Linked DNA regions of Sus scrofa. The protein of the gene in region 1 binds, or shares a complex with, the protein of each later gene. Links are inferred from orthologs where the notes say so. Each region holds a gene or a part of one and is shown in the gene's direction. Other genes may lie near its edges.

Region 1 (3,500 bases):
GCTGGATTTTATGATGGAAAAGGGAAAAAAACAAACTTAGCACAACTGGAAAAACTGATATTATTTTAGAACTTTTGAGAAATGTTAAAGGAGTCATGCCACAAACATTTAATACAATCCTGTTGCATAATACTTAACAACATGAATAAAGAAATATATACTAGCACGTGTAAGTGACTCCAACACAGGTTGTCTGATGTTCACAGATTTTCCTTTTATTTAAAAAAATAAATATATAATAAAATGAGATTAGATTGCATTCTGCACCATTGTTTACAGCTGATGTTACATAATTCACACATTAGAGACAAAGTATAGCATGGTGGTTAGAAGTCAGAAAGGCCGTCACTGTAAACTCTATAACTTCTTTGAACCTCAAGTTTCTTAGCTGGAGAAGGAAGATAATGATAGTACCTACTTTTAGAATGTTCATGAGGGTTAAATGAGATATAATTTCTGCAAAGCATTTACCACATTGTTATTGTTACTTGCTTCTACCCTATTTTAGAGTCTAAATTTGTTTATATAATGTTTGAACAAAAAGTAGTCATTCGCAAGAAGGTTATTTGGCATTATATTTTTAATAAAAGCTAACATTAAGTAAATGTTGGAAATTGCCCAAAAATCTTATTGAGGGATTAAAATTCATCAATGCCCTTTTCCCCTTAAGATAATGTTGTTTTATTTATAGTTTAATGCATATATTCTCATATAACAATATGATTTCAATTAGTTAAAAAGTATTTTCAAAGGTCCTCCCTAATTTCAAAGAATGAATTTAACAATTTGCAATTAAATCTTTTTTTTTTTACTTGATAGGTTACAGGGGATACAGTGTATAACATGCTACGACTAACAGAAGTAGACATTGATGATGAAGAAAGACCACGTAATCCACACAAAATTAAAAGTTGTGAGGTAGGAGCATGACTGTTATGAGACACATCACCTAGATTATCACTTAAGAGAAGTTGATTATATTCTTAAATTATCAGATTAAAGCCTTATAATAAATTAATATCACAACTCAGATTTTACCTCTGTAATTTAGGTATAATTCTTGATTAAGAATTTTTTTTAATTGAAGGTTTTGAATACAACGATGAAACTAGCTGATAATTCAATGAATGAAAAACTCAACTCACAATGGAAAGCTGGATGAATTAGGCTTATTTAGCGCAATAAAGTGATTTTGTAGGTAATTTAAGAGTGATCCTCCATTGAGGAAGCAAGTACCTTAGAGTGTTTGATTTGGAGTCAGAATACCTGAGTTTGTCTCTCTTACTATGGATTATGTTTTCTTGAATTTTTTTCCCTTTTGTAAATAGGGCTAAAACATATTTACTTAATAGCTCATTGGATTACTAAGACAGTCCAATGAGCCAAGTAAGTGGAAGCACTTTATGTAGTATGTATATCACTATACTTGTAATGGTTACGTGAGGAAAAATTATAGGCACTACTAATGGCAACATAGTTAAATATTGGCTTTAATGTTTTGTGAAATTTTTAAAAATTGAGTAATGTTTTTTAAAATATTTCTTTCCATAGGTTTTGTTTAATCCTTTTGATGACATCATTCCAAGAGAAATAAAAAAGCCAAGAAAAGAGAAACCAGAAGAAGAAGTAAAGAAATTGAAACCCAAAGGCACAAAGTAATCAGAGTAGAAAGATTTTTCCTCAGCTTGAAAAGCAACACTGATTTATTTAGTTTACTTTATTTCCTTTTGTAACAATTATTTACTTCTGAGAGGGGAGGCCAGCTTGTACTGGAGAATACTATCTACATTGTGTATGTATGTGTGTGGTTTTTTTTTTTAAATGTACCTTTCTTATATTCGGATACAAAATATAAATTTTAAAACTTAAGCCAACTTGGAGTTCCCGTCCTGGCTCAGTGGTTAGCGAACCTGACTAGTATCCATGAGGATGTGGGTTCGATCCCTGGCCTTGCTCAGTGGGTTAAGGATCCAGCATTGCTGTGAGCTGTGGTGTAGGTCACAGACGTGTCTGGGATCCTGTATTGCTGTAGCTGTGGCCTGGGCCAGCAGCTACAGCTCTGATTGGACCCCTAGCCTGGGAACCTCCATATGCTGTGGGTGTGGCCCCAAAAAGACAAATAAAACAAAACAAAAATTAACATTGTGGGATATCAAGGAAAGATTTAGTTAAGTTGCTATTTTAAACTGTCAAATATGAATCAGACCCTTTAATAAGCAGTTGATTATCTTGTGGCAAAATAACTTCTCATACAGCTATGTATTTGAAAAGTCACTGTCACTGTATTCAGATATAATATTTCATCACTGTGATCTATTTTGATAAGAAGCCCAAAAGTTGGATGTTTCTGTTTTTGTTTTTAATTCATTGCAGATACATTAGGGATGATGTGGTAGTCATTGATTACATCTCAGTTTTGAAATAAAAATTCCTCTTGTGTTGCAAAATCTTTTATTTTTCCAATATTTGAGAGGAGAGTTTTAGTAACTTGTTATTTAGCTTTGTTGTGATGTTTTTAGTTTGAAGAAGCAAAAAAGACAAACTTAATTTTCTCTTCCCATGGGCTATTTTTTAGCTAAGTTTATTGCTTTTTTTATTTAACAATTGTAACAATAATTTTAAAACATTAAGATGTGTTTTGGCAGACACTAAATAAACTGTTTCCCATTTGTAGTGCTTTCAAGCTATGTATTTATTTTTTAGAAATCCTCATTTTGCTAACCAGTTTTGATAAATATAAAAAGATTTAATTATTTCTATCATGCCTGACTTAGTATATTTAATGATGGTACTCAGGATGAATTTTTGGTTATTAGTTTAGTCTAATATATGGAACATCTGTGGTCTGGGGCCAAACACTTAATATTATGCTGAAAACATAGATCTTTAGTATATTTCCCATAAATACTAAGTCATATTGTCTATTGATAGAGTGTTTCTTCTCATAAATTCTCTTCTATTGCTTTGAAAATGGGATATTTATAAATTTTATTTAACTTTGTCTTCCTATTCTTTTTTTCCTTATTTATTTATTTATTTATTTTTGATTAGAAATTTTAGTTTACTTTCATTTGGAGAGGAAGCCGAGGAAGAAGAGGAGGAAGTAAATCGAGTTAGTCAGGTAAAACTCTTAATTTGCCCTGTGTTCTGAATTATGAAAGAGTTGAGGATCTGTATCTCACTCATTTTTGTATTTCCTGCTATACATAGCACAGCATATGTTCCATGGTACACATTCACTAAGTGTTCATTGAAATGATTCATAAAGTAATTTGTGGTCAGTAATACTTGCAACTTTTAATATGATTTGAGATAGTTTTTTTTTTTAATTTGAATTTTTAAAATCAGAACCAGAATTAAAGAATGACTTCATATTTATGATTCAGATTTTAATTGCTATTGGTTTAATTGGTTTGCTAGATGATTTGGGTATTATCATTACTGTAATAAACAATAACAGACCAGAGCTCTTATATTCATTTTACTATCATTTATATATA
Region 2 (3,944 bases), on another chromosome or scaffold:
ACACAGTCTGGCTTCCACTTGCCTCCAGCTTCATCTTGTACCACACTCCCCTTTATTCTCTTTGTCCTGGCAACACTGGCCTCTTTGTACCTTTTAGTCATTTTCCTCTCATTTGCCATTGGGCCTCTGCACATGCTGTTCTATATGGAATATTCTGCCCTCCTCTCTTCCCCCAACTAATTAGAATTCTTCCTTCAGGCATAGGTTCAGGCATCTTTTTGTTAGACAAGTCTTCCGGCTTATTTCTGGCACTCAAAACACCAGGTACCTTTCCCTGGCAGCACTTACTTTGCATTCCCTATAAAGATCATTGTTGAGCATCTGTTTTTCCCATCGGACTCAAAGCCCTGAGGTCAGGGACCATGTTTGGTTCACAATGTCTCCTCAAAGCTTTGCACCATAAATATCAGTTGAACGATTAAGGAGAAAACCTACTTCACAAGTATGAGTCTGAATTTCTCAGCCAAGACTGTGCTCTGGAGACCAAGAGTCGGACATTTCCTTCATCTCTCTCTCTCTCTCCCTCTCTCTCTCTCAGGGGCACAGAGCAGGCGCTGGTAAAAGGCTGCAGTATCACGGCAGAAAGAAGTCGGCCTCCAAAGTCTGAGACGACCCTGGTGGAGGCTGGGAAACTGACCTTTTCTCCCAAGGAGCACCTGGCACAGGGCTCGACACAGAAGGCGCTTGTTAAAGAAAGCAGCCGTCGAGGGCCCCAGGCAGGCGCAGAGACCCCACTGCTCTGCTCCAACCTAGAAAGGGAACCCAGGCCACCATACACCAAGAGCTAGGAACTCAGGGGCCCCCTCTGCCCTCTGCGATCAACCCTGGGCTGAGAGAGGCCAGCTTCAGACCACACAACGGAGGCGCCGCCTCCAGATTCCGCAGCCACCCACCCCCAACACTTACTCGGAGTTAGCGTCAGGTCTCCCCGCCGCAGCATTGCGCGAAACGCCAGAACCCAGTCAGCGCGCTTCCACCCACAAGACCCAGCGCGCCGAGGCGGGACTCCAGCTCGTTCCACCAATCCTGGAATCGTACTCTAGTGACATCAGAATGAGTTGCCCAATAACTGGAGACTCCCCAGGGGGCGGTGCAGAGGGGAGTATTGGAAGCCGATTGGTTTCTCCAAGCCGGAAGTTCTAAGGGAAAGACTAAGTCGGAGCCAATCGTGCGCTCCCTGAGGGTGTCGGCGCGGTCAGTGGCGGCCTGAGGAGAGCGGTTGCCGCCATGATAGAACAGCAGAAGCGCAAGGGCCCAGAGTTGCCTCTGGTCCCAGTCAAGCGGCAGCGGCATGAATTGCTTTTGGGAGCGGCGGGGTCGGGCCCGGGAGCCGGGCAGCAGCAGGCGGCGCCGGGAGCTTTGCTGCAAGCGGTGAGTAAACGAGCAGATGGCCTTCGGCCCTCAGCTCATCTTCCTGTCTCCTCAGTGCTCCACCGTGAGATCCCGTACCGGCCCTTTCCCTGCACTGCGGGGGCGGAACGGGACTCACACCAGGGAGTTAGAGCAGAAAAACCTGTTAAAGCGGTCAACACCCTGCGATGCTACGTTTCCCCGTTTGACGTTTCAGCGTCTCGATGGCCCTGTGAGGGGGCGTTAGAATTAGTGAGGGATCTTAAAACTGGGCCCCGGGCTTTCGCATCCTAAATCTTCCAGGGATCCAGCATAGAATAAACGTTCAGGAAAGTTGAAAGAGTGGATGGATGAATGAAGGAAGAAAGAAAGGAAGGAAATGAACGATACTAGCTCGCTTTGGGACTTGGGGCAACTTGCTTTGGGGAAAACTCTTTCTCTGCACTAGTATTAACAACTGAAGAATAGGTAACACTTATTGAGCCATGTACTAAGTGTTTTGTATATGAAAACTCCATTAATCTTGGTCACTGCCTAAGAGGTAGGAATTGTTAATTGTCCCATTTTGTAGATGGGGAAACAAACTTCTCTAATAAGTGATAGAAACCGATTTTAAAATCAGAATCCAGGCTTTTAACTAGAGTTCTTATAAGATAGAGGTAGTGATGGATGACATCTCTCCTTCTGCTCTATTAGGCTTAGCTGAAGAATATATGTCCCCTCCTGAAACTCCTCAATCAGGCTGTCAGCAAATCTTTGCTGGCACCATCCTTAAAATAAACCCAGATTTGTTACCACTTCTAAATATCTCCATCACTACCTCCTGATCTAAGCTGTTATTCTCTCACCTAGTATTCCTGCTGTAGGATCCTGATGGCATTCCTGTTTCTTTTCTCAGATGCTCATTCTATTCTCAGTCCAGCAGCCGGAGGAATCCTTCTAAACATCAAATCATGTTAACCTCTGCTGAAAACATGCCATGGCTTTTCGCTTCACTCAGAGTAAAACTAAAATCCTAACAACCTTTTGCCCTCTTTCCCTTGACCTCTCTGATCTACCAATTTTCCATTGCTCACCTTACTCCAGTCACATTGGCTTCTATGCTCCTACCACACACAAAGCCTTTGCATTTTCTTTTCCCACTACTGGAGTGTTCTTTTTCCAAATGTCCACCTGGTTTACACACTCAGCTCCTCCAAGTCTCTGCTCAAATATCGCTTTTTCCATGAAGGTTTTCCTGACCAACCTGTTTTAAATTGCATACCTGGGTACTCACTAACACATTGCTGTTTGGTTTTCTCCATGGTACGTACCACCACCATCTATACCTTATACTTGTTTCTGCCATCCCTCCCTCCTTTCTGTCCCTCCCTCCTGCTAGAATACAACCTACATTGTTTATTTTGTTCAACACTGTTTTCTCAATGTCTAGAACAGTGCCTGACACATAGTATTTTTTGAGTAAATGAATAAGCTGGAAACTACTGATGAGATTTAGGAATTATTAATAGTGTATTTGTTCTTTTGGTTTTTTTTCTTTAGGACAGCACCCATGGCATATGGAAGTTCCCAGGCTAGGGGTCAAACCAGAGCTACAGCTGTTGGCCTACGCCACAGCCACAGCAACTCAGGATCTGAGCTGTGTCTGCGACCTACACCACAGCTCACGGCAACGCCGGATCCTTAACCCACTGAGCTAGGCCACAGATTGAACCCATATCCTCATGGTTCCTAGTCAGGCTTGTTAACCACTGAGCCATGAAGAGAATGCCAGTGTATTTGTTCTTCCATCTGACAAGTAAGAATATCAGCTCAAGTTTCTGTGAATTGCCCAAGCCTAGGCTTAGTGGCTAAAACCGTAAACAAGACTACTTTCCTTAGTAACCTTGTACCCTGCAAGGTTGTTGGGAAGCTCAATTCAATCATTCATTCATTAAATGAACTAGAAACTGGGAAGACTGTTGAATGACTCTATAGGGTTCCTGTGGTCACAGAGCTTTTCTAGTGGCACAGTAGGGGAGACACTGTAAACAAGTAATGAGGAAGGTAATTTCAGGTAGTTAGAGAAGTGCTGTGAGAGGTGTTGCCGTTGTGGTGCAGCAGAAACGAATTCGACTAGGAATCATGAGGTTGCGGGTTTGATCCCTGGCCTCACTCAGTGGGTTAAGGATCTGGCGTTGCTGTGGTTCTGGCATAGGCCGGCAGCTGTAGCTCCCATTAGACCTCTAGCCTGGGAACCTCCGTATGCTATGGGTGCAGCCCTAAAAAGCAAAAAAAGAAAAATGAAGTGCTGTGAGAGAATCCCTAAGGTTGATAGCATGTAGAAGGGAGGTGGAAGAGTGCTGCTTGAGTTTGAGTGTTCCAGGAAGGACTTTCTGAAGCAGAAATGTTTGAGAGGAGTCACACACAGGAAGATCTAGGGGAAGGGGTTTCTGTCTTGTTCCTGCGGGTTCAGCTACAAGTATAAGAGATCCTGAGGCAGAAATGAGTTTAACATGTTTGAGCAATCAAAAGTAGGAGCGCAGTGAGGGAGGAGGAGAGTTAGCATAACAAACAGACCCTGGAAACTTCAGAAGAAGAGAATCTAATTAGAG
Region 3 (3,500 bases), on another chromosome or scaffold:
GGAGGGGCAGGGCATCACGTGAAAGGCAGACCTCACCTCTGTTGAGGCCGGTGCTCCCCACTTCCGGTTCTGTGTGGCTCTCTTTTCGCCCCGGGCTCCTCGCGTCCATGCCTGCCCTTCCCGGCTCTCTGATCTAGAGGCACGTGGTGATTCCTTTCCTTGCACGTTGCTTCTCGCTGTGTCTGGTTCTCTGCTTATTATATGAACTGGATACACTTGTGGCTGGAATTGTATGCTGGTTGAGTAATTTCTTAAGTTTAAGTTTTTTTTTTTTTTGTCTTTTTGCCTTTTCTAGGGCCACTCCCGTGGCATATGGAGGTTCCCAGGCTAGGGGTCTAACTGGAGCTGTAGCCCCTGGCCTACGCCAGAGCCACAGCAGTGCGGGATCTGAGCCGCGTCTGCAACCTACAGCTCATGGCAACACTGGAGGATCCTTAACCCACTGAGCAAGGGCAGGGATGGAACCCACAACCTCATGGTTCCTAGTTGGATTCGTTAACCATTGTGCCACAATGGGAACTCCAAGTTTAAAGTTTTTAATTAAATACTCTGAATAGGTGATAGTTGTGGGTGGTGTACAAATGCAGCAAGTGCCGAAGTAGGTGGTGAGAACTGTGCCTTGTCAGGCCCTAGTCACCCAGGTCTCTGCAGAGGGAGCTGAGGAGTCAGTCCCTTGATCCCATGGCTTAAAAATTATTTGATGTACGTAGCTGATTGTGATTTCTTATGATGCATCTATTTTGTTCTGCACGGGTCGTGTAACTTTGAGGGGCTGGACTGAGCAGGAAGCATTTGGGTGACTTGGGAGTTAAGACGGATGAGGTTTCCCCCATCTCTTTTGGGAGCGGGAGGCCAGATCTGGCCAGAGTTGGACTTTGAGGGCCTTTCCCGTACCCCGTGCCATCCCCGCAGGAGGAGCAGAAGACCATGAAGTCCAAGATGCGAGAGAAGGTCCGGCCCAAGATGGGCAAGATCGACATCGACTACCAGAAGCTGCACGACGCCTTCTTCAAGTGGCAGACCAAGCCCAAGCTGACCATCCACGGGGACCTGTACTACGAGGTCGGCAGCGGGGGCGGGGAGGGCGGGGGCAGGGCTCTGCCTTGGGTCACCACCCCGGAACGCCGGGTCCCAGGGGCTTTGGAAGCTGGAGGTGGGGCCGGTGGCCCTCTCGCCTCAGGCTCTGGGTTGTCCACTAGCTGCCCTTGGATGGGGTGGCATTTGCAGCGAGGGGTGCTTTTCTGGAGGAGGGATGCGGATCGCATCTTCGAGGCAGCAGTCGTGTATGTGGGTAGTTTAGAAACAGGGGCCGAGGGCAGATGCTTTAGGAAACATTCCCTCTTGGGGGCAGGAGAAAATTGTCTTGTTTTGGTTTTTTTGTTCTGGCCCTTGAGATGTTAGTCAGCGCGGTGTCGTGGGATTTTTGAGGCCGAAGGCCCTTGGAGACGGTCTTCTCCAAGCCCCCACCCGGGAGATGAGAAAGCCTGTCCTTAGAAGTGGCTGTGCGCTCACAGCGGGAGTGCCTGCCCCCTCCACTTCCTGGCTTTTATCATCATTCCCCACCCCCGGCGCGGCCGGGGGCAGAGGTGACGAGAACCCTGGGAACTAGGTAGTCCTCCGAGGGACTCTGTCTGCTGTGGTTTGGGACCTCTTTGTTCTCCCGCCCCCTGGCAGGTAACCTCCCAGTGTGTGTCTGGAGCCCACAGCACGGCATGCTCTGCTTTTTCCTCAGGGGAAGGAGTTTGAGACACGGCTGAAGGAGAAGAAGCCAGGCGATTTGTCTGATGAGCTGCGGATTTCCTTGGGGATGCCAGTAGGACCAGTGAGTGCCAGTTACCTGGCTGGGCAAACAGAGAAGAGGTTGGGCATGGGGCGGGGGAGCCAAGGGCTCGGGTCGGGCAGGTGGGAGCCCGTCCTCTCTCGTCCTGCAGAACGCACACAAGGTCCCTCCCCCGTGGCTGATCGCCATGCAGCGCTACGGGCCGCCCCCGTCGTACCCCAACCTGAAGATCCCGGGGCTGAACTCGCCCATCCCCGAGGTGAGAGCTTTCCTTTCTGTCCTTCTTCTAAGGGAGGAGCTGGCTCTTTAACTAGAGGAGGATTTTTTTTCTTTTCTTCTACTGTGTGTCTTTTGGCTTTTTTTCAAATTAAAGGAGTATGGTTTTTGTTTTAAGAAAACCACGAGACGTGTGTCATAAAATGGTCAGTCAGAATTGAGAACAAAGATGAAAACACATATTGCTCACATTTCACCACTCAGAAATAACCAGGTTTAATATCTGGTGAATGTATTTCCAGATATCTCTCTCTGATGTGTACATGGATGGACAGATAGAATTTTAAGAGTGGCATTAAACTTATTTTTTTTAATTTCTTTTCTTCAGAAATCTCTATATTGAGGTAATACCATTGGAGAAATAGTCAAAACTTAAAAAACCTTTAGAGAATGAACTTCATGCTGTTTTCTTTCTTTTTTTCATTAAAAATAGTAATCTATTTTGTTGCAAATTATTTTTATTTTTTACCTTTTTTTCTTTTTTTATGGCTGCACCCATGGCATATGGAAGTTCTGGGGCCAGAGATTGAATCTGAGCCGCAGCTGTGCCCTACTCCACAGCTGCAGAAAAACTGGATCTGGAGTTCCCGTCATGGCTCAGTGGTTAACAAATCCGACTAGGAACCATGAGGTTGCGGGTTCAGTCCCTGCCCTTGCTCAGTGGGTTGGGGATCTGGCGTTGCCGTGAGCTGTGGTGTAGGTCAAAGACGCGGCTTGGATCCCGCATTGCTGTGGCTCTGGTGTAGGCTGGCAGCTACAGCTCCGATTCGACCCCTAGCCTGGGAACCTCCATGTGCCGCGGGAGTGGCCCAAAGAAATAGCAAAAAGAAAAAAAAAAGAAAGAAAAACTGGATCTTTTAACCCGCTGTGCCAGGGTGGGAATCAAACCCTAGCCTCTATAGTGACCTGAGCAGTTGCAGCCAGATTCTTACCCCATTGCACCACAGCAGGAACTGCTAAGTTTGTTTTTAAATAAAAAGCAATAAAAAATTTCACAGACAACAGTCATTAAAATGGGAAAGAAGTGATTGTTAAATTTCAGATAAAAATTTCTGTTACTTTGAGTTCCTGTTGTGGCTCAATGGTAATGAACCCGACCAATAGCCATGAAGACCTGGGTTTGATCCCTGGCTTCACTCAAGTGGGTTAAGGATCTGGTGTTGCCACCAGCTACGGTGTAGGTCACAGACATGGCTCGGATCTGGCGTTGCTGTGGCTGTGGCATAGGCCGGCAGCTGCAGCTCAGATTCGATCCCTAGCCTGGGAACTTCCACATGGCACAAGCCCTTAAAAAAAAAATTCTGTCACTTTAGAGAACTAGATTCTGAAAGCTTGCCAACATTAGGAACATCAGTAAGAAGTTGGAGTCGTGTCTTGCAAAGTACATGTTTCAGTTTTAGGCAGCATGAACTCCACCCTGAAGGCTGAAGTTACTAGCAGGCTT
Region 4 (2,472 bases), on another chromosome or scaffold:
CTATCTAACCGTAACTTTATACCAGAATAAAGATACTTTAAAGTTATCTTTCTCCCAGTAAAGAATTTATTTGGCCGTCATACAGGTTTTTTTAATCCATTCATCAGATGTTTTTTGAGAAACAATCTCTGCGAGGCTCTGTGGCTAGCATAACAGAAGCATATGATACAAGACATCATCTCTTTTTCATTAATATTTTTAAAAATATTACTATTTGAATTTATTGAACTTCGCATTTTGGGGTTTTCTTTGTGGATTTCATGCTACAAATAGATCAAGTAGATAGATGTCTCACCCTCAAAAAAAAAAAAAGACATCATCAAAAAAGTAGTTTTTCTCAAGTAGTTTGTATTCGTGTGGGGAAGTTCTTAAACCAAAAACTGGATATAAAGTGATAATAACAAAGAGATGTACAGGATGAAAAGAATTTACATCTGTCTGGAGTAGCCAAAGTCAATTTCAGGGAGATACTTTCGAGCTGACTTAAAAGGGAGAAGTGTTTGCCAGGGGAACAAAAGCATTCCACGCAGATGGAACAGCTCGTACAGAGAACTGGAGAGAGCAGCACGGGAACGTTTGAGAAGTAGAGGCTGAGGGCCTGTAGGTGGGGTGAAACTTGTTGGGAGGATGTCAAAATTAGAAGCTCAAAAGGAGGAGCCTGTTGTGGGGGCCTGAATGTGTCGGAACTGGTGCTGTACTTAGGTCACTAGGCGGGAAACGGCGGCCCCGCAAGCGATGAAAGAAGTTTCCACACAACTTGTAAGAGACATGGCTGGGGTCAGACCTTGAGTTTCCTGACTTCAGGGTGATCCACCCCTGGTTGTGAAACGGCTACTGTACCCTCTGTAGCTCCGAAAGCGGAATTGCACAAAGAGCTCCTTTCCCCAGTTGCTTACAGCCTTGTACTACTTGTTTCCCACTTCCTCTCGGCCCCCCATCCGCCCGAGGATGCTTCCTGCCTCCCAAACACCGCAGTCCATTCAGTCTCTCAAACCCACACACAGAGGTCCCAAGAAGTCTCTGCGAACCAACCCTCGGAAACCACAAGTCCCAGCATGCAAAGCTCCTGTTAGAAAAGGGCCGCTAGATGGACCAGCATGCAACGCTCTGCGAAGGAGGCGGGGCTCTCTATAGGGAAGGCCCACTGGTAGCGTTGCCGAGGCAACTCCAATTCCGTGACAGAATACACTTCCGCCTGGGAGGCCGGGGACCGCGAGTCGCGCTGCTTTGTCGCTGTGACGCCATCCACCTGCGGCCGCGCGTGTACAGAGGTTCCGGCGGGTGGCTCCTCTCCGGCTTGAAACCTTAGAGCGGCTTCTTCTCGTCTGCGGCTTCTGACCTGCGAGCAAAGGAAAAAGCAACGAGATGACAGACCGCTACACCATCCACAGCCAGTTAGAGCATCTGCAGTCCAAATACATCGGCACCGGCCACGCCGACACCACCAAATGGGAGTGGCTGGTGAACCAGCACCGCGACTCCTATTGCTCCTACATGGGCCACTTCGACCTTCTCAACTACTTCGCCATTGCCGAGAATGAGAGCAAAGCGCGAGTCCGCTTCAACTTGATGGAGAAGATGCTGCAGCCTTGCGGCCCGCCCGCCGACAAACCGGAGGAGAACTGAGACCTCACCGTCTCACCGCTGTACGTGAGCACCTCTCTGCGTTCCTCCGGTTTGTCGTCATTCCCGCGGGTTCCTCTCCCAAGTGGACGGATTCTTCATAGCTCTGCTTTTCGTGCTTTCTTTGTACAGAGGTCCTTACCCGGGGCGTTCCGTCCGACCTGCCTTCCTGTGGAACAAAGTGTTGGGAGACCCGTCATAACCCCTGAGAAACTGAACAGTGGAGAGATCCTAAAGTCTGCAGACGTTAGAGGAGATATGGCTGGAGTGAGATGGGATTAAGAGGCTCGTTTTTGGCTAGTTGACTGTCTTCGTTGCTTTTTCTATAAAGTTTAGAAATGTTTCGGTCTCTTGGTGTGGACTACTTGTGTTCTGGTGGAGGGGCCAAGGAGGGCTCTGGGACTGTGGTTTGCCGGGTGGCGGGGGGTATAAAGAAGGGAAGGGTTGGGGAGGGGTTCAACAGTAGCACAGGGCCAAAGTTCGTTGCCAGACACTTAAATACGCTCTTTATAATATTCTCCAACCCTGACTTCTCCCAGGAACTTTTCTCAGGCCCTTAACACATTCACTATTGAGGTTTGTGATCACTGTGTCCTTTTTCTTTCATACAAAAAAAAAAAATCTTGACTCGCTTTGCCTTCTCTCTGTAGATTACACCTCTTTCTTTTGGAAATACGTGGACATATCTTGAGTATTGACAAACTGTCAAATTAGTTCTTAAATTCATTCAGCAAATACGTGTTGAATTTTATGTGGCAGGCTTTAAGGACCTATATTACACTGGTTGGGGGAGCAGAAGACCACAAAATTTGCAGACATAAGCAAGCACATGTTGGAGGGTGCTGTGGA
Region 5 (3,500 bases), on another chromosome or scaffold:
ACACAGAATCCATCAAACATGGAGGTTGCTTTTATTTTTTATTTACCCTAAAATATCTCTATGAGCTTTAGGTTTTCAGCCCCAATCTTAGTATTCAGAACAAGCCATCACTCTTTGTCTTTATAAAACTATGGCTTGATGATTTCAGTGGCATTTTGTCCCCAGACTCTCATACATGCACATTTTAATGAGTGAGTTTTAGGAACTAGTAATCTTAGCACTATATGTTCAAGACAGTATCCTCCCATCTATAAAAAGCACATACATTACTCAAGAAAGAGAATGAACTCTTTATTTCTACAGCATCTTAACATTTTGAAAATTAGTATAGAGAGGCAGTCTTATTTCTTTCCAAGAAATAATATACATCATCTTAAGATATTTAGAGATAATTCTGATTGAAGATGAGAACAAATTGTAATTTCACAAGAAAGGAAAGTTATAAATATTGGTCACTTTGTCTTACCTTTTAAACACCAAAATAAAAATGTTTTTAAATTTTAATTTTCAGGTTCTTGAATGTATAAAGCTGAGTGAAGAAACTACTACATCATCCAGTAGAATTTTTGTGAAAATATTTTTCCAAGAACTGTGTGAATACATGGGTCTTCCTAAACTTAATGCAAGGTTAAAGGATGAGTAAGTTTGTTATTCTTTTTATTCTTCCTGCCCTCAGAGGCTTTACCGCACTTTAGCAGAGGAAATCTACCCTTAGTGGTAAAAATACAAGTTCTCATGATAGTTTTCATCCATTCGTTGCCACTCTGAGTCTCCTGTATTATGTGGTACGACATGAAACTTGATGATAGTCTAGTTCTAGAGAAAATTCAGAATTAATACCTCTTTTAATTTAGTTAGAACTTTTGCATGCTCACTGGAGTTTTCCAGCAATGAGTGTTTTTAGTTTTAGTTTCATTTTTACCCTAATTTTGAGCCTTAGAATGCTAATTTTTTACTATCAATAAATTACTGTGAATATATACAAATGAGTATCACTCATGAAACTATTCAAATTTTACACTGAACTAGGGTTTTGTTCCAGGACTATCAAATAATATCAGCTTTCTTATTTACCATTTATCCAGATTGCCCGTCACCACTCACTTTGGCTTCTGTTCCATTCACACTCCTGAAGTCCTTTCTCATTTGTCTTAGTGACCACCTGCCAGTTCCAGGTGGCCTCATGCCTCTTGACTTCTTGGCCTCACACTGTTGACCACTTGTTCACTGTGGCTCCTCACTTTCCTTCATTGTGCCTTCCTCCCCTCAGTCTCTCTCTCTTGAGCCTCCCCCTCCATTGTTCGCTGAAAGTCTGTCCTGGCTTCTGTATGCTCTGGGCCAGTCCATCCCCTTCTCCTGGTTTCATGTACTTATTTATTGGTCCCTATCTGCTTGGTCAAGTTCACATAGTTCCTCTCCACACAAGTTCTGTAAGTTTACTCACCTCACAGAATTATCTCATAAGTTGCCTTCAAGCAGAATCTTAACAGCAGCACTCTGCCACACCAACACTGCCCAGCTTGTTAAGTAGTTCTGGCTCGTTCATGCATCCTAACAGAGCTGGGTATTCCTTCTCTTGTTCTGTCCATCAAACTCTTAATCATTCTTCTTACATTAAATTACCTTTACTATGAAGAATGGTTTTTCCTAACACTGCTGGTTAGGCCATTCAGTGTGGCACTGAAAACCACATTATATTGTCAATGTTTTTCTGCCTGTCCCCCTCCCTAACTGTAGTGATTGCATACAGTCTTCATCCTTGATTTCTCTTTTGTTGACTGCTTCCTCCCCTCCTCCAGTGCCTTGCAGAGCACTCTGTGTACATGGTATGTATATACACCAGAAGAGAGGGTTTTGGGGGGGGGTTTGGTTTTTTTCACTTTTCTGCACATATACTCAATGTATAATAAATAGACATATATATAGGTTTATATGTGTTCTATATATATATATTCTGAGTGTATAAGAGTGAATAAGAAAGTTTTTTAAAACCCTCTCTGTTATAGAATTATAGTAAATTATGGCTTGACCCTACTCATTTCATTTAGATAGCATACAACCAAATAAATGATTTTTAAATCACTTAATTGTATTTCATTTACTAATTTAATATATAGAAAATCTGAAAATGCAAGGATTAATATAAGGGTTTTACCTTTTTAACCAATCTGTTTTGTTCATTTTCTTTTTCTTTTTTAGAACTCTGCAGCCATTCTTTGAAGGATTATTACCCCGAGATAACCCAAGAAACACTCGGTTTGCCATCAACTTCTTTACTTCTATAGGTCTTGGAGGTTTAACGTAAGAATTATTTTCAGAAATTTATTCACCTTACAGAATTTCTCACAGTTGCCTTCAAGGCAGAATCTAATAGAAATTTTGTTTTTAATTAGGGATGAATTGCGTGAGCATCTCAAAAATACACCAAAGGTCATCGTGGCCCAAAAACCAGATGTTGAGCCCAATAAATCCTCCCCTTCCTCTTCCTCTTCTGGATCCTCCTCCTCCTCCTCCGATTCTGAATCCTCTGCCTCTGATTCGGACAGCAGTGACAGCAGTTCAGAGTCTTCTAGTGAGGAGAGTGATTCTTCATCCACCAGTAGTCAGAGCTCGTCCTCAGGTATCAAAGCTCATTTATAATTAACTCTGCCCTTTTCTCACAAGTATATTGCTGGTGGTGTTTACAAGGGAAGAGAATCATTTGATTGCTTATTTATTTTAGACTTCACTTGTTTAAAAGCCACAATTAATAATATAAACACTCATCTATCACTATTGCAGTCCATACTGAATTCAGTGTTTATAATGCTAAGATTATCTTTTGAAATACTCTTTATAGAAATGAAGATAGTCCACTGCAAATAATTTATTTGAATGCTGACTGAAATGCCATTTCTAACTTCTGTCATCTAGTTTAAGGATTAAGCTTTCCTGATGTTTATATTTTCAAGAAATTTTAATTTTTCACTTTTAATAGTGAAGCTTTATGTTAGTAATTGCCACATGCCACACATTCAGTGCGTACCTTACAAGTGAACAGCTGTATAAATTTTCATAAACAGAACACATCCATGTAGCTCGGACCCAGAAGTTCTTGTTCCCTTCCTAGTTGTTACCATTCCTCTCATCCACTGCCTCATGGCAGCTACTGTTCTAATTTGTAATTATATATTAGTTTTGCCTGCTTTTAACTTCAGAATTATATATTATGAACTCCTTTATGTCTAGCTTATCTTCTAACATGATGCTTGTGAGATTCATCCATGCTATTGCATTTAGTTATAGTTCATTCATTCTTGTTGTCGTAGTTTTTCACTATACGAATATCCACAGTATATTTAACATTTATCAATGGAAAATTAAATTTTTAGTGTTCCCATGAATACTCTTGTACGTGTCTTTTGGTGACCACATGTATATATGCCTTTCTGTTGGGTATGTAACATACCTAGAGATGGAATCGATGGGTTTTAGGTTGTATAGATACTGTCAGATGGTTT
Region 6 (2,810 bases), on another chromosome or scaffold:
GAATCCGACTAGGAACCATGAGGTTGTGGGTTCGATCCCTGGCCTTGCTCAGTGGGTTAAAGATCTGGCATTGCCATGAGCTGTGGTGTAGGTTGCAGACGCGGTTTGGATCCCGAATTGCTGTGGCCCTGGCGTAGGCTGGTGGCTACAGCTCCAATTCGACCCCTAGCCTGGGAACCTCCATATGCCGCAAGAGCAGCCCAAGAAATGGCAAAAAGACAAAAAAAAAAAAAGAGTTCCTGCACCACAGCAGTGACAGTATCAGATCCTTTAACCACTAGGCCACCAGGGAACTCCCATTTTTCGAGATTTTAAAAAAGATACCTACACAGTTGCCCCTTGAACAATGTGAGTTTGAATTGCACTGGTCCAGTTACATGCGGATTTTTTTCAACAGCAGATACTACAGTACTCCATTTCCCCTTTAGGCTGACTCTGGATGTGGATGTGGACTCTCAAATACAGAGGAACCACATACACAGAGGGCCGACTACAACCGCTCAAAGGGTCAGTGCCCCTAAACCCCCACGTTGTCCAAGGGCCAACTGTAGTACAAGTTTCTTCTTACACATCTTGCATATTCCTAACGTTTATTCCTAGGTATGGAATAATTTTTGTTATAATAATAACTATCTTTTAAATAAGATCTTTTATTTTTTTTAAATTTTTTTTACTTTTTTGTCTTTTGTCCTTTTAGGGCCACACCCACGGCATATGGAGGGTCCCAAGCTAGGAGTCTAATTGGGGATAAAGCTGCCAGCCTATACCACGGCCACAGCAACTCCAGGTTTAGTCTCATCTGTGACCTACACCACAGCTCACGGCCATGCCGGATCCTTAACCTGCTGAGCAAGGCCAGGAATCGAAGCCGCCACCTCGTGGTTCCTAGTTTGATTCATTTCTGCTGCACCACAATGGGAACTCCCAAATAAGATCTTTTAAAATAACTATTGTGGGAGTTCCCATCGTGGTGCAGAGGAAACGAATCCAACTAGGAACCATGAGATTGTGGGTTCAATTCCTGGCCTCACTCAGGGAGTTAAGGATCCGACCTTGCTGTGAGCTGTGGTGTAGGTCACAGACGCGGCTCAGATCTGGCGTTTCTGTGGCCCCGGTGTAGGCCGGCAGCTGTAGCTCCGATTAGACCCCTGGCCTGGGAACCTCCACGTGCCTGAGTATAGCCCTAAAAAGAAAAATAAACAAACAAGTGAACAAATAAATAAATAAAATTACTATTGTGTTTTTATTTTTGCATAAGAGAAAGCTAGCTTTCTTCCTTTCCTTTTTTTTTTTTTTTTTTGGCTTTTTAGGGCCACACCCACGGCATATGGAAATTCCCAGTCTAGGGATCTAATTGGAGCTGCAGCTGCTGGCCTACACCACAACCACAGCAATGGCAGATCCGAGTCACTTGTGACCTACACCTCAGCACACGGAAACGCCATATCCCTGACCTACTGAGCAAGGCCAGGGATCGAACCCGCATCCTCATGGATACTAATTGGATTGTTTCCACTGCACCACAACAGGAATTCCACGTAATTATTTTGTATGTGACTACTTAACTCACTCCGTTAGTTCTATTTTTTATATATACTTCCCTATAAGTTTGCCTATAGGTGTTCTTGTTTTTGAAGCTCTGAACACGGGCTCACACTGTTAGAACTATAGTTGGGCAGCAGCCTAGGGGCCTAGGGCACCTATTCAATGTGGTGGCCTTGCAAGTGACCACCACTGATAACCTTATTTGTGTGGGACATTTTGCTCTGAATGCCAAAGTCCAAATCACAGATGACTTTTTTAAATAAAAATTTTATTGGAGTATAGTTGACTTACAGTGTCGTGTTACACAAATGATTTTTCAAATGCAGCTTTGTTCATAGACTGTGGACTGCCTTTCATTTCCTGAATCTCTTTGGATATCAGGAACGTGAGGATCATCCCCGGAGAGGCCGGGAGGATCGGCCGCACCGAGAACCCTCAGGACAGGAGCACAAGCGCGCTAGGAACAGTGACCGAGACAGACACCGCAGCCATTCCCACCAAAGGAGAGGCTCGAACGAGCGGCCTGGTGGTGGGCAGCCCCAGGGGCGGGATCGAGACATTCAAAACCTGCAGGCACAGGAAGCAGAGCGGGAGTTCTATAACGCCCGGCGCCGGGAGCACCGCCAGAAGAATGAAGCCAGTGCTGGTAACACATCTCAGGACTCACTTGCAAGGCCTGGCGGCAACAACAAAGACAAAGAGGTGCCTGCTAAAGAAAAGCCAAGTTTTGAACTTTCTGGGGCGCTTCTGGAGGACACCAACACCTTCCGGGGTGTAGTCATTAAATATAGTGAGCCCCCAGAAGCACGTATCCCCAAAAAGCGGTGGCGCCTCTACCCCTTTAAAAACGATGAGGTGCTTCCTGTGATGTACATCCACCGGCAGAGCGCTTACCTCCTGGGCCGACATCGCCGCATCGCAGACATTCCCATCGATCATCCCTCTTGTTCAAAGCAGCACGCCGTCTTTCAGTACCGGTGAGTGTCCATCTGCAGAGAGAAATGGAAGTGCCATCAGAAGCCAAATGTCTTGGTTAGGATTATTGGGGTGGGGGTGGGGGTGGGTGTGTGTACACATACACGTGCAGAAGCCTATGCCCCTCGTGTCTAATACTAGTCTCAGTTTCTACCTACTTGCAAGGCTGTTACGAGGATTAAGTGGAAGTAAAACTAAGGATGCCTGGCATGTGTTAGCTGAATCTGTATCTTGACAGGTTCCGTAGCACATCTTTTATTGTTGGATGTTCACAACAATCCTGTGGGGAG
Region 7 (4,102 bases), on another chromosome or scaffold:
TCAAATTGGTTAACCAATCTAAGTCTCAGTTTCTTCACCTATAAAAAGGGTATAATAATTGTATGCTTGATAGGGATGTGACGATCAGATGCGCTAATGGATGTAAAGTCTTTAGTATAGTGACTGGTATAATAAATAAGAGCTGCTCACCTCCACCGGGATATTGAGACAGGATTTGTCTCAACCAGACAGTGCAACACGAGATGGGACCCTTGTCAATTAATTTATCACAATTAACTAATTTAGACACAATTAGGAAAATTTCAGGTGAAGTTGCCCAGAGGGCCACTATATCCTCATGAGGAATAAATCTTTTCTGAGTGTCTGCGTCCCAATCCTGGAAGACTCACCGTCACCCCGTATTTGAGTGCTAGTCCAGCCAGGGTGTCTCCGGGCGCCAACTGATGCTCCAGGCGTCTTTCCCTCACCGGGGAGCAGGCAGACTGCACAAGGCTTCCATAAGAACGAGCCCGGCTCCCTTGAAGCAGTCCTGACCCCCCGAGGGGGGCCTGTCTAGAGGGAGAGGCCATCTCCTCACCCTGCGGACAACTGGAGTTGCAACTGCGGGAGGCCCGGCCAAGTGACCGATAGTGACAGGCCCGGGGTCTGGGAATGAAAATCTGGAGGATTCCTTTCCCTTTCTGTGTTCTCTCCTAAGTCTCTCCGCCTTCCCCCCACTAGGCGACCTCTGACTCCTGGCTTCCCCGCCTTCCAAGGCCTTTTCCCACAAACCTGTAACCTGACTGTTCAGTCCCTACCTGAGTTTCTCCTTAGTACCCCTCCGACTTTCGATCCCCCACAACTCGCGACATTGACCTCTGACCTTTGACCACTAGACACCCTCCTCTACACTACAGAGTTTGCCCCCAGGTCGGTCCGCCAGACCTCCCAGCCCCCAACCCCGATTCCGCGCGTCCCGGGCTTGGTCGCTAGGGTCGGGAACTAATCAGGCCCACTCCAGGTGGGCTGTGGCCTCAGGCGAAGGGCGTGATGACCGCGAGAATCTGTAGCACACTTTCCCCTGAGAGATCCTCAAAGGTACGCTCCGCATCAAATCAGTCACACTCTCAAACTCGGGATCCACAGCTAGGTTCCTCTTTCTCCAAACGCCTCTAATCTGCCAAGATGCAAGGGCCTGAATCGGGCAGGGCGGCAAGCTCTTTGAAAAAAGACTTCATTTCCCAAAAGGCTCCGCGCCGGCGGGGTCGCAGAGCACCATAGGAAATGCAGTCCCCTCTATGGGCTAGAGGCGGGTTTTCGGGATCGCGCGGCGCATGCGTGGAAGCGCATCCCGGAAGTAAGGGGGCCAACCGGAAAGAGACAGGAAAGAAAGGAGACGTCCCACTCTTGCTACGGTGGCCTGAAAGGAGTGGCGAACGCGGCGCGATAAAACTTATATTTCTGGGGCTCTCACAGTCGTGATGTCTTTCAAGAGGGAAGGGGACGATTGGAGTCAACTCAATGTGCTCAAAGTAAGCGCGAGAGGAGAGCATCTGGAGCAGCTTCAGTTGCCGTCTGAAGGCTGTGAGGGAGCTGTTTTGTTGCTGTGGCAACAACTCGGGGGAGGGGGGCGGAGGAAGCCAGACGATTGGAACTGGGCCGACACCCCTTCTTCAGCCCAGATCTCTACCCTTCTTGTGGCCTTTATTCCCTTTGAGTCCTCGTCCTTGTCATTTCCTTTTTGTTCCTCCCTCATATCCAGCTGACCCCGTCCTCATTTCTTCCCTTGTTCCCTGCAGAAACGGAGAGTCGGGGACCTGCTGGCGAGTTACATCCCAGAGGATGAGGCGTTGATGCTACGGGATGGACGGTGAGGACTAGGAGTGGATCAAGCCTGGGGGTTCTGCGGTTAGAGGCTCAACAAACTTTTGTTATTAAGCAGATTGGAAAGAACAAGGAATCTTTGGCGGGGAGTGAGTAACAGGGATGTTGGTGGTGGAGACTGGGAGACTTGGGATTTGGGCTTTGGAAAGGAGTTCTAGGCTGTGGTGGAACCTATGGCAGAGACTCCACTCCCCAGGAACCAATTATCTTCTCTCCTCCTCTCTAGCTTTGCTTGTGCCATCTGTCCTCACCGACCGGTACTGGACACCCTGGCCATGTTGACTGCCCACCGTGCAGGCAAGAAACATCTGTCCAGTAAGTTTGTGGGAAGACAGAGCATAGAGAATAAACCCTTAAAGGGTTTATTCACTCTGGGTGCCCTCCTTTTAATTCTCTTTCCCTTTCTCCTGAGGCCTGCAGCTTTTCTATGGCAAGAAGCACCCAGGAAAGGGCCTGGAGCCAAATCCAAGACAACAGAATGAATTGAGGAGAGAAGAGACCAAAGCAGAGGTAATCAGAGAGGGGAGGGTGTGTTCCAGGCTGCACACCTTAGGCTTGAAGGCTCTGGATTCTTTCTAGCTCTGAAGGTTCTGACTTTGTCTCCCATCTCCATGCCAGGCTCCTCTGTTAACCCAGACTCGACTTATTACCCAGAGTGCTCTGCACAGAGCTCCTCACTATAACAGTTGCTGCCGCCGAAAGAACAGGTCTGTGGGGTGGGTAATCCAGAAGTAGGGAGGAACAGGAGATCGATCGCTCTAAAGTACTGTTTTCCAAATTGGATTCTGAGGAATACTAGTGTTCTGGAAATGCTAACTTGAATTTCAGGAAAAAAGAATTTTGTTTGGGAAATAGGATTTTGTAATCCTGTTTGACGCATAGTAATATTACGAGTTCCCATCATGGCTCAGCGGTGAACAAACCCGACCAGCATCCATGAAGATGAGGGTTTGATCCCTGGCCTTGCTTGGTGGGTTAAGGATCCAGTGTTGCTGTGAGCTGTGGTGTAGGTTGCAGACACAGCTCGGATCCCATGTTACTGTGGCTGTGGTAAGGGCTGGCAGCTGTAGCTTGCATTCACCCCTAGCCTGGGAGCCTCCATATGCCACAGTGCAGCGCTAAAAAGACCAAAAAAAAGAATAGTAACAGTATATTTTCAGGGTTCTACACAGTCTTAAAAAAAAAAAAGCTGAAAAAACTAACTTAGGCTTTCCTTAAGTTCATTTGATTCCAAAATCCTTTTTATGCAGAACACCTGTTAATATCTTGAGGAATACAGTTTAGGAAGCACTGCTTTAAGGGGTTGGGAGTTACAGGAGATTTGGTCCTTTCCTTTACTGCTTTTACAGACTTTGATTCTTCTCTACCCAGACCAGAAGCCCCTCGTCCCTCTGTCTCTCGTTCCGCTTTTTCACCCCCAGAGGTTGAATCCCAAAGTGAGAGGATCAGTAGGGAACTTGAGCCTGCGGCTGCATCACAAACCAAGGAATCAGCCACTGTCTCATCCCCTGCACCTATGAGCCCCACAAGAAGACGGGCTCTGGATCATTATCTCACCCTTCGAAGGTGAGTGTACGGAATCACTTTCCTCAGATTGTCCCTTTTCTCTCTGGCTCTCCTTTTTTCAAACCTCAAATATTACTTATCCCTACTAGCTTTTGGGGGGGGCGGGAGGCCATGCCCACAGCATGCAGAAGTGTGCCACAGCAGTGACAATGCAGATCTATAAACTACCGAGCTACCAGGGAACTCCGCTACTAAATTCTTAACACATTTCCTTTCCTGATCGATTCTGTTTGTTCTGATATTTCCAGTTCTGGATGGATCCCAGATGGACAAGGTCGATGGATAAAAGATGAGAATGTTGAGTTTGATTCTGATGAAGAGGAACCCCCTGATCTCCCCTTGGACTGACACTCTTTCCCCATTCAGTTCACAAATAAACTATAGTGGGCGCTGGGAGCCTGACTTTCCTTGAGTCTGGTTCCTTGTCTCATTTCAGGATTTCAGGTCTGTTCGTTCTCAGCCTGGCCAATATTTCCCTGCAATGTACACAGCTCCCCATACTTCTAGCCCCTCCCCCCACTTCTACCAAAGTCATGCCAAGCGTCAGCTGCATGCAGCCCGGTGCCCTAAAATAAGTCTGTCAGAAGGAGGTCTTTGCCCTTCATGTTGTCTGACTTCTTCCCCACCTCCACTCAGAGTCTTTTCCTCCTTCAAATGACATGAAGTTTTTGGGTAGGCACTGGGTGGGGTGGGGGTGGGAGCTGGACAGGTC

The links.
Region 2: CWC27 (region 1) and SNRNP40 share a complex: the UniProt entries of both Homo sapiens proteins name them as parts of the minor spliceosome. The link is inferred for Sus scrofa from reciprocal best matches to the Homo sapiens genes CWC27 and SNRNP40.
Region 3: CWC27 (region 1) and SF3B2 share a complex: the UniProt entries of both Homo sapiens proteins name them as parts of the minor spliceosome. The link is inferred for Sus scrofa from reciprocal best matches to the Homo sapiens genes CWC27 and SF3B2.
Region 4: CWC27 (region 1) and SF3B5 share a complex: the UniProt entries of both Homo sapiens proteins name them as parts of the minor spliceosome. The link is inferred for Sus scrofa from reciprocal best matches to the Homo sapiens genes CWC27 and SF3B5.
Region 5: the proteins of CWC27 (region 1) and CWC22 are in contact, whole or in part, in a crystal structure (PDB 6YVH), measured with the Homo sapiens proteins. The link is inferred for Sus scrofa from reciprocal best matches to the Homo sapiens genes CWC27 and CWC22. Residues at the interface, in NP_005860.2 of Homo sapiens: Arg381, Glu382, Asp383, Gln384, Thr385, Leu386, Leu388, Leu389, Phe392, Lys393, Lys395, Leu396, Thr397, Ile400, Glu412, Asp415, Asp416, Glu417, Gly418, Trp419, Met420, Ser421, His422, Val423, Leu424, Gln425, Phe426; in NP_001362958.1 of Homo sapiens: Leu239, Arg242, Lys243, Tyr245, Arg246, Asn248, Asp249, Lys250, His270, Glu271, Val272, Leu275, Glu276, Thr279, Leu280, Leu281, Glu283, Arg284, Thr286, Asp288, Ser289, Val292, Val307, Ser308, Pro309, Arg310, Gly311, Thr367, Met369, Leu372.
Region 6: CWC27 (region 1) and SNIP1 share a complex: the UniProt entries of both Homo sapiens proteins name them as parts of the minor spliceosome. The link is inferred for Sus scrofa from reciprocal best matches to the Homo sapiens genes CWC27 and SNIP1.
Region 7: CWC27 (region 1) and SCNM1 share a complex: the UniProt entries of both Homo sapiens proteins name them as parts of the minor spliceosome. The link is inferred for Sus scrofa from reciprocal best matches to the Homo sapiens genes CWC27 and SCNM1.

Annotation. Positions count from the first base shown.
Region 1 is NC_010458.4:43,366,964-43,370,463, forward strand, and holds part of CWC27 (peptidyl-prolyl cis-trans isomerase CWC27 homolog), read left to right. Parts: intron 1-819; coding exon 820-918; intron 919-1,551; coding exon 1,552-1,655; intron 1,656-3,051; coding exon 3,052-3,121; intron 3,122-3,500. UniProt on the Homo sapiens protein: As part of the spliceosome, plays a role in pre-mRNA splicing. Probable inactive PPIase with no peptidyl-prolyl cis-trans isomerase activity. As a component of the minor spliceosome, involved in the splicing of U12-type introns in pre-mRNAs.
Region 2 is NC_010448.4:87,876,824-87,880,767, reverse strand, and holds the start of SNRNP40 (U5 small nuclear ribonucleoprotein 40 kDa protein), read left to right. Parts: upstream 1-1,144; 5' UTR 1,145-1,227; coding exon 1,228-1,371; intron 1,372-3,944. UniProt on the Homo sapiens protein: Required for pre-mRNA splicing as component of the activated spliceosome. Component of the U5 small nuclear ribonucleoprotein (snRNP) complex and the U4/U6-U5 tri-snRNP complex, building blocks of the spliceosome.
Region 3 is NC_010444.4:6,283,651-6,287,150, reverse strand, and holds part of SF3B2 (splicing factor 3B subunit 2), read left to right. Parts: intron 1-912; coding exon 913-1,062; intron 1,063-1,732; coding exon 1,733-1,822; intron 1,823-1,931; coding exon 1,932-2,039; intron 2,040-3,500. UniProt on the Homo sapiens protein: Component of the 17S U2 SnRNP complex of the spliceosome, a large ribonucleoprotein complex that removes introns from transcribed pre-mRNAs.
Region 4 is NC_010443.5:21,230,043-21,232,514, forward strand, and holds SF3B5 (splicing factor 3B subunit 5), read left to right. Parts: upstream 1-1,221; 5' UTR 1,222-1,365; coding exon 1,366-1,626; 3' UTR 1,627-1,646; intron 1,647-1,755; 3' UTR 1,756-1,972; downstream 1,973-2,472. UniProt on the Homo sapiens protein: Component of the 17S U2 SnRNP complex of the spliceosome, a large ribonucleoprotein complex that removes introns from transcribed pre-mRNAs.
Region 5 is NC_010457.5:85,546,838-85,550,337, reverse strand, and holds part of CWC22 (pre-mRNA-splicing factor CWC22 homolog), read left to right. Parts: intron 1-511; coding exon 512-639; intron 640-2,199; coding exon 2,200-2,301; intron 2,302-2,393; coding exon 2,394-2,620; intron 2,621-3,500. UniProt on the Homo sapiens protein: Required for pre-mRNA splicing as component of the spliceosome. As a component of the minor spliceosome, involved in the splicing of U12-type introns in pre-mRNAs. Promotes exon-junction complex (EJC) assembly.
Region 6 is NC_010448.4:93,599,360-93,602,169, reverse strand, and holds part of SNIP1 (smad nuclear-interacting protein 1), read left to right. Parts: intron 1-1,926; coding exon 1,927-2,522; intron 2,523-2,810. UniProt on the Homo sapiens protein: Required for pre-mRNA splicing as component of the spliceosome. As a component of the minor spliceosome, involved in the splicing of U12-type introns in pre-mRNAs. Down-regulates NF-kappa-B signaling by competing with RELA for CREBBP/EP300 binding.
Region 7 is NC_010446.5:98,079,575-98,083,676, reverse strand, and holds SCNM1 (sodium channel modifier 1), read left to right. Parts: upstream 1-1,302; 5' UTR 1,303-1,421; coding exon 1,422-1,472; intron 1,473-1,739; coding exon 1,740-1,810; intron 1,811-2,050; coding exon 2,051-2,139; intron 2,140-2,236; coding exon 2,237-2,334; intron 2,335-2,442; coding exon 2,443-2,531; intron 2,532-3,195; coding exon 3,196-3,390; intron 3,391-3,638; coding exon 3,639-3,738; 3' UTR 3,739-3,833; downstream 3,834-4,102. Other genes in the region: LYSMD1 (lysM and putative peptidoglycan-binding domain-containing protein 1), read right to left, coding at 351-530. UniProt on the Homo sapiens protein: As a component of the minor spliceosome, involved in the splicing of U12-type introns in pre-mRNAs. Plays a role in the regulation of primary cilia length and Hedgehog signaling.